Linked DNA regions of Arabidopsis thaliana. The protein of the gene in region 1 purifies or fractionates together with the protein of each later gene. This does not show direct contact. Each region holds a gene or a part of one and is shown in the gene's direction. Other genes may lie near its edges.

Evidence for each region.
Region 2: the proteins of NF-YC5 (region 1) and PIL6 purify together in Arabidopsis thaliana (affinity purification with western blotting, with the first as the bait; one study listed by BioGRID). This does not show direct contact.

Annotation. Positions count from the first base shown.
Region 1 is NC_003076.8:20,559,934-20,563,368, reverse strand, and holds NF-YC5 (nuclear factor Y, subunit C5), read left to right. Parts: upstream 1-2,140; 5' UTR 2,141-2,198; coding exon 2,199-2,759; 3' UTR 2,760-2,935; downstream 2,936-3,435. Other genes in the region: AT5G50500 (uncharacterized protein), read left to right, coding at 812-1,219. UniProt on the Arabidopsis thaliana protein: Stimulates the transcription of various genes by recognizing and binding to a CCAAT motif in promoters.
Region 2 is NC_003074.8:21,827,283-21,832,674, reverse strand, and holds PIL6 (phytochrome interacting factor 3-like 6), read left to right. Parts: upstream 1-1,837; 5' UTR 1,838-2,493; exon of another isoform or gene 2,494-2,772; 5' UTR 2,773-2,779; coding exon 2,780-2,850; intron 2,851-2,971; coding exon 2,972-3,698; intron 3,699-3,779; coding exon 3,780-3,845; intron 3,846-3,938; coding exon 3,939-4,289; intron 4,290-4,366; coding exon 4,367-4,486; 3' UTR 4,487-4,770; downstream 4,771-5,392. Other genes in the region: AT3G59070 (Cytochrome b561/ferric reductase transmembrane with DOMON related domain-containing protein), read left to right, coding at 117-311. UniProt on the Arabidopsis thaliana protein: Transcription factor acting negatively in the phytochrome B signaling pathway to promote the shade-avoidance response. Regulates PHYB abundance at the post-transcriptional level, possibly via the ubiquitin-proteasome pathway.

The DNA of each region.
Region 1 (3,435 bases):
AAACCATGTTTACATTATACGCAACCTTGTTCTTTGAGAGTAGACCATAACTATTTTAGAAGATAGATAATGGTTGAACAAAAATAGAAAAATAAAACCCACAACTAGATTTTTTATTTTTTTTTGTTAATTCCCACCACTAGATTTTGTACGACGAATATTTTAACATAGACACTACCTAATACTTAAAGCAACTAATATAGAACAGGTAATGAAATTCAACAATACCAAAAAGATGATTGAGGAACGGAGATTGACGGTGCTTAACAGAGTCGAGAGCTTTGATGATCTCTCCTTTATAACTCAAACATCTCCTCGTAGTGCGAGGGTTTAATGACGATTAGAGTCGCATGAGAAAATTGTTATCTCTTTTCATTGGCAACACTCAAAATCAAAAGCCGAACGAATACTAGTCTTGTGTTACACTCTCAGACCCAAACAAAAGAAGAAGAGAGAAGAGAGGAATTTTGATGTTTGTGATCTTATGAAGAGAAGGAGAAGACAATGACTTGACTTACATAGCCCAAGCTCAACGTATATATATTCATGAGGTGATCTCACCTTAACGAAAATTTATGAGATTTTGATTCTCACAACAATGTCAAAAACGTTTTCTGACCTTAATTGTCATAACTGATTTTTTGTTGTTGTTACAAAACTCTATCATTAAGGTAGATATTTTTTATTGGTTGTAAGCCCATTTCCCAACTCTCAAATCTCAAACCCAACCCATGTATGTTTGGATTTCTCCTCTTACTTACTGTATATTATATACCAAGGCAGCTATTTTGGACCTTCATTTCTCATTCAAATGATAACTTCATTTTTGACATTCCAATGCACCACCACGGTCCGCGTAGTGCTTGCAACAATGATTCTATTGTGCCGAAAAACCGGTCATTCCGATGAACGTCTTCACCGGAAAAGTGGCCACAACCACTTCATCAAAAACAAGTTCCAACACCCGCGCAAAGCTTCCTGCATGAGTTGTTTGTTTAGGAGTAGTACTCTTTTAACAAGTTTTATGGATTCCTTATCTAAGACTTCGAGATCTGATCTTAAGGGGAAACGATATCTTTGGTTTTTGAATTTCAAGATTGATATTTATCGAACTTTGTGCAAAAACCATCTATCTCTTTCCACCATTTATGTTTTCGAACCAATGCACTTCAAAGCCTATTTGGGAAAATCTCAAGTCTATAGATGTGATAAGACTTGAGATTTCGCCAAATAGGCTTTGAAGTGCATTGGTTCGAAAGGCTACGAGTATAATCAAACTGAGTATTGAAAGGTGTGTTTCCTCTTCTCCACACAAGAGTTTTGGTGCTACTGAGGAGTGATGAAACTGATAATGTGGTTATGGAGGAGTAATGCAGTAATATCTTGAAGAAGGAGGCGCCAAAATAAAACGGCTACTCTTGTTTAACTCCAAACTGTTCACTTTTTGGAACAATCCAACTCCAAACTGGTCACTTTTTATTTAAATTTAATATTTTGTTTGACAAAATTTACTAACATATTTATTAATGATCTCTCTTTTATTTTGCAGTTAAACATCAAAATGTGAGATTCTCTCTTGAGTGTCTACCTCCTCATGTTAACAAATCAAATAATTAGAGAAATAACCAAAATTTAACTTTTAGAGGGACTACAGGATTTGTACTTTGTACATTCATATATTATTGTTATATATCGTTTCATACATTAATTTGAACCAATGTAAATTAAGTAAAATTCAATTTAACATCATGAGCAAATTCTTATTAAAATTCTCTTAAAATTTTGAGCAAATTATGCTTTCACATTTAACATTTGAAAACATCATTTTTAACAAGATATTCAAAACTAAGTTTTGTACAGCAAAATTTTAACTTTCAATTTTATAGAGAAAAAGGTATTTTTTTTTTTGTTTCATTTTTATAAGACTATTATTTGGTATATAATATACACTTTAAGTAAAAACAAATCTCTTTCTTTTTTCTTCTTATAATACCAACCACAAGTCTGTCAGTCACACACATACAGTTAATAACATTAAATATTCTTAACAAACTACTAAATAGGTTGAGATTCATATATGTAAAGAGATCACTTCTTAATCTTATCCTACCATATCTTATATACGCTTAATTTTCCTTTATATATGCAAACCTCCACATAAAAATATCTCAAACCCAAACACTTCAAACAAAAAAAAAATGGAGAACAACAACAACAACCACCAACAGCCACCGAAAGATAACGAGCAACTAAAGAGTTTCTGGTCAAAGGGGATGGAAGGTGACTTGAATGTCAAGAATCACGAGTTCCCCATCTCTCGTATCAAGAGGATAATGAAGTTTGATCCGGATGTGAGTATGATCGCTGCTGAGGCTCCAAATCTCTTATCTAAGGCTTGTGAAATGTTTGTCATGGACCTCACGATGCGTTCATGGCTCCATGCTCAAGAGAGCAACCGACTCACGATACGGAAATCTGATGTTGATGCCGTAGTGTCTCAAACCGTCATCTTTGATTTCTTGCGTGATGATGTCCCTAAGGACGAGGGAGAGCCCGTTGTCGCCGCTGCTGATCCTGTGGACGATGTTGCTGATCATGTGGCTGTGCCAGATCTTAACAATGAAGAACTGCCGCCGGGAACGGTGATAGGAACTCCGGTTTGTTACGGTTTAGGAATACACGCGCCACACCCGCAGATGCCTGGAGCTTGGACCGAGGAGGATGCGACTGGGGCAAATGGAGGAAACGGTGGGAATTAATATTTGGATTGGGTTTTGTAACCGCTGTTGTGAGAACTTGAATTTCTTTTTGAGTTCTGCTTATGTTTTCAATGTTATGTTTTTTAGTTGTTGAATGTATTTCTGTTGTTTTGTCCAAAAAAAAAAAAGAATGTATTTCTGTTGTTGTCTTTCAAATGAATCTAATGGTTTATGAATATTGGCTTTAGATTAATTTATGCATACAAAAACACAAGGATTACGGATAAAAAAGTCCTCAGTTTACCCATGGAAACATAATCTTCTAGTGATTCCTTATGAGAGTAGAAAAGAATCATATATTATAATCTATTTCATAAGAGATAGGGTACTGTAAACAAGGATGTTTATTCGGCTATTTCTTTTTTTTTTAATCACTTTTACTTGTCAAGACTCTTTTGTGTTTGCAGCTTTTTGTTAGATTACATTCTAGAGGCAACAAGATCCAGAGATCTAGCAAAAAAAACTTATTTTGAAACCTGAATCTATTTTAAAAATTTTCCAACTCATTTTTCGTTCTTATTCTTTGTTTTCCAACGGAATTTGGCGCACAAACGATTTATTTGAATTTTGTCTTTCAAGAAATTTTAGCGCGGTTTTAGCGAACTCTTATGAGGAAGTTATTAATTGAATTATTTTTGTTTTTGTTTTTTCTAATTATCATTTCTATATATTTCTC
Region 2 (5,392 bases), on another chromosome or scaffold:
AAGTTCTTCTATTCAATAATAACTTTCGAAATTTCTATTCTACAAGAAGTGAGATTTGAATATCCTTGTATGGACCTTCAGAGCTATAATCATCACAAGGTCGGCGGCGGGAGCAGATCGGAGAGACGGAAAAGGCGGAGAGGAAAAAGGCGAGCGGCGGAATTGAAATTCAGATTGAAAACTATAATATAACGAAGAACTTCATGATCCCCTCAGTTTTTGTTATTTCTTATCCACATACTTCTCCGCCGCTTCTAGCCTTTCATTCCTACCACCATCCGTCTACTTCCATCGCCGCCACCGCCGCCTGAATGTTTCAGAACGGTCTCTTATAGAGTTAGGGTTTTGACGTTTTGTTCGGCCCTTTTCTCTGATAAATTTGTATTTTTCGGACTAAACTGGGCCGTATCTTAGGCCCAATAACGCATCTCCACAACACAGTACAATATCTGTTATATGACATGACTTAAAACTTTTGGGCCTTTTCTGATAAATTCAATTTGCTAATGTCATTCTATTTAATGTGATGTTATCTTCATCCTATGAATATGCATATTCATAAATATTTAATGTATGTATATGGTTCCTTAATCAATGATGATTGATAGATTCGTTCCTTCGTCGAAATCTAATGTATATGCATAGAATTAATTCATATATCGGTTTAGAAGATGATGGAATTAATTATCCAACTAGGCGACGACTTATATGTCGACATGAGTTATAAATTCAAATACAACGACATCATTTGAGTCAAATGCAAACAAAAATTATAAGAAAAATAAAATAGCAATCGAAGGGTTTTGGGGTTTTATGATTTATGGCTGGCATCTGTGTAACCGTGTTCCTCTTTGCTTGATTGGGATAACAACGTTTTACATGTATCGTCCACGACGAACGAATCTATCTATCAACTTAATTCATCCAACTAGCAAATAGCAACTTGCATACAAAATAATTTATCAAAAAAAAAAAAAACTTGCATACGGAAGAAAAAGTGTTATTATTCAGCAATTTTCACTAAACTACTCATATTTAAATTCCATATTTTGCACTAAATTACTATTTCTATGGCTGGAAACAAAAACTGAGTTACTTGGCTCATGGCCTTCTATAGCCTTGAATGGACGCTATTACGACCTCGTCTCTTTCGTGGAAAAAGCAAATGAGGGCCAAAGACTTTTAAAGGGAAATGTCTCCTTTCGGTGGATGCTTTCTTCACAAATGCACCCACTATATATGTCTGTCTGTCTACTTGTAAGTTGCAATGTAATATATTCATGAATTTATCATACTAATAATATGTTTGTTTATCATTAGATCGGTAGGGGTTATGCACATTAAACGATAAGATTGATGTGATAAGGGTTAGAAACTGATCTACTGTTAAATTATTGTGATAAGGATCGGAAATTAATGTGATCATAATTTTGGTGGACCATTGTTTGTCTGTGGTCCATGACAAACAAGTCACAACGGTCCACGGTTTATTACGACATTGTGAATTTGTGATTGCATATTTAGGTTCAAAACTGTTATTAATATCCAAAATTTTGTGTATAATTAATAAATTCCAAATTCACAATCAACTAAAAGTTATATGTATAAACTTGCAGTTGTTTAGAGAATGATAATAACACAAAAACTTACGATGGTAGCTTTAACTAGTCAACACGTGAAATAAATGCGATGTGGAAATTTGCCGGGGGAAAAAATGATGACTTCTCAAGATTATTTCCGCTCGGGTTTTAATGAGACTCTGACATGAAATTGAATTCAGATGATTATAAAACGGTTCATATATTCATATAGTAGATGATGATATAAACTCATCGAAGCATCGTAGAAAATAGAGAACTTCAATTTGTTTTTTGTTTACCATTATTAGAGATACTATTCGCTGAAAGAGAAGCATAAGAGGGGTGTTATGATTTGACAAAAACACCCTTAATCATTGGTCAAGACTCAAAGAGTGTTGCAGATAAGGTACAGATCAGAAACCCACCTCTAGAAATCGAGCAATAGATCTCTCTCAACTTCACAGACAAAATCCAACCGAGTTGGTGGGTCTCACTAACTCTTTAACTAGTTGTCTGACAATTCGCCACGTGTCGGTCATCCTGATCAGTTTCAGTACTATTGCCCCCACCGAATCATTATCTCCCCCTCGCTCACTCGCTTACTTACCGTAATAATCTCTCTGCTTCCCTCCTCTAGCTCTTGTCCCTTTCTGTCTGAACCTGGCAAGAAGAACCTTAGCCTCTCTTTCTTCTTTCTCTCTCTCTCTCTCTGTGTTACTGTTCTGTTTCAACTTTACTCCCTCAGTTTCAGAACAATTCCCTATCTAGAAGAGAGATAAAACCGAGAAGGTTTTGGAGATAGAATCTTTTGTTCTTCTTTTGTCCCTCCTTGCTCGATTTTTGTTACGTGTGAAGCAATAAAAAAAAACTGATATAGCTAAATCTTCCATCCATTCAGAGGCTTCTAAATCTGGTAATTACTTTTATAGCTTCCCCTTAGTAAGAGTTTACTATATATAGAATTAGTTGCTTTATTAAATCATTTCCTCCTAGATTGTTGGAGAGGGTTGTTTGGTTTAATTATTTTCTAATCATTAAACTGTTGGGATTTCGAATAATCTTTTCTAAGTTGATTGCTTTCATCATCCTTTTTCCTCAAATCTCCTGTTAATCATTATACTAATTATGAATCAAATCATTTCTTATTCACTTACAAAAAAGTAATATATTCTTTATTTAAGTGTCTTTACAGATCTGACATGGAACAAGTGTTTGCTGATTGGAATTTTGAAGATAATTTTCACATGTCCACTAATAAAAGATCAATCAGGTATATATCAATTTTCCAATTCAAGTATTTCATAATTATATACCAATTTCACATCTTAATCATAGCTATTTAAGTATTGTTTGTTTAAAATATGTTTGTAAACATTCATATGTTGGGACAGACCAGAAGATGAATTAGTGGAGCTATTGTGGAGAGATGGTCAAGTGGTTTTACAAAGCCAAGCTCGTAGAGAACCGTCAGTCCAAGTCCAAACCCACAAACAAGAAACCCTAAGAAAACCCAACAATATTTTTCTTGACAACCAAGAAACAGTACAAAAGCCTAACTACGCTGCTCTAGATGATCAAGAAACCGTCTCCTGGATACAATACCCTCCGGATGACGTCATCGACCCTTTCGAATCCGAGTTCTCCTCTCATTTCTTCTCTTCGATCGATCACCTCGGAGGTCCTGAGAAGCCACGAACGATCGAAGAGACAGTTAAGCATGAGGCTCAAGCCATGGCTCCTCCTAAGTTTAGATCCTCGGTTATAACAGTCGGACCGAGTCATTGCGGCAGCAACCAGTCAACAAATATTCATCAGGCCACTACACTTCCGGTTTCTATGAGTGATAGAAGCAAGAACGTCGAAGAAAGACTTGACACTTCGTCAGGTGGCTCCTCCGGTTGCAGCTATGGAAGGAACAACAAAGAAACCGTTAGTGGAACAAGTGTAACCATTGACCGTAAAAGAAAACATGTTATGGATGCTGATCAAGAATCTGTGTCTCAATCAGATATAGGTTTGACCTCAACCGATGATCAAACCATGGGTAACAAATCGAGCCAACGGTCAGGATCTACTCGAAGAAGCCGTGCAGCTGAAGTTCATAATCTCTCAGAAAGGGTATACATATACTATTTCTGACTAGTTGATCAACCATTCAGTAATAATAATTCTGATGTGATCTTTGTCTATTAATTACAGAGGAGGAGAGATCGGATCAATGAAAGAATGAAAGCTCTTCAAGAACTCATACCTCACTGCAGCAGAGTAAGTTTTTTCATCACAAAAAAACTGAGTTAATTAAGCTGTAATTGATTGGTGTGTTTAAATATGGTTTTGTCTTCTTCTTTTTTTGTGTAGACAGATAAAGCTTCGATATTGGATGAAGCAATTGATTACTTAAAATCACTTCAAATGCAACTCCAAGTGATGTGGATGGGAAGTGGAATGGCGGCGGCGGCAGCAGCAGCAGCAAGTCCGATGATGTTTCCCGGGGTACAATCATCTCCATACATTAATCAGATGGCTATGCAAAGTCAGATGCAATTGTCTCAATTCCCGGTTATGAACCGGTCCGCTCCGCAGAACCATCCCGGTTTAGTATGTCAAAACCCGGTACAGTTGCAGCTCCAAGCACAGAACCAAATCTTATCGGAGCAGCTCGCTAGGTACATGGGCGGGATTCCCCAGATGCCGCCGGCGGGAAATCAGGTCAGTTGCAGACGGCATCGTTTTGAAGAAAGACAAATATATTTATTTAATATCTGACGTGTCATGTTTTAAATTAGATGCAGACCGTGCAACAACAACCAGCGGACATGTTGGGATTTGGATCTCCGGCGGGACCGCAAAGTCAACTGTCGGCACCGGCGACCACCGACAGTCTTCATATGGGTAAAATAGGCTGACTTGGCATATAGTTTTCCTCCGAAATTATTCTTCTTACAGTTGGTGATTGTTATTTATTTTTGGTCGCCTAAGCAAGCATAAAAGCTAAGTCAAATGTATTATAGAGATCTAATAAGTTAGTCTCATACTTATAACTTATTTTTAAACAGTTGAATTATAGTATCAATCAAGTGTTGGGAACCTAAAGATCATACATGTGTCAATACTTTTATATTTGTTCTCAAGGTTCATCAGAAAAACAAAATAAAAAGGATAGACTAGGCCTGCATTTGACATTATCATGGGCTTTTTTGGGTCTATGAATATGAACATTAACCCATATTACTGCTCAAAACGCATACGTTATACAAAAAACGGAAAACGCTAACGTGGTTTACTCCACCACGATTCGTACGTAACGACTAGCGAGTCCCATACCTACTCGATTTTTAGTTTCCTCAAGTTAACGGTGAAATCAAATTACCGATTATGTCCTTCTAAAGTGACACGTGTCTTACAAGAGGAGCGAGTTTATCCTAATCACATACTCGAGCGTGTAGGTTTCCGATTAAAGCGAAGCAGAAAAAAATTACTAAAATAATAAAAACGTATAGAATGTGATTAATTAAGTCAACCAATAAGCATCTTACAAATCAGCACTCTGAAAACAAACACGATTATTAATAGAAAAAGCTGCGACCCGACTCCTGAGCCTCTCTCTTTCTATCGCTCTTTGATTTTGTTTCTCATTGTTTTGCTTCAAATTACGCATTCGAATCTGATCTTCGTTGATCTCTGTGGAAGAAACAGATAAGAGAAAATCGCATGAATTTTTTTAGAAAACTAGGTTTTAATCCTTCGATTGCAAGCTACTTCACTAATACGAGTCTTCTGATCTCAATTCTTAGTTTTTCTCCTCAATTGCC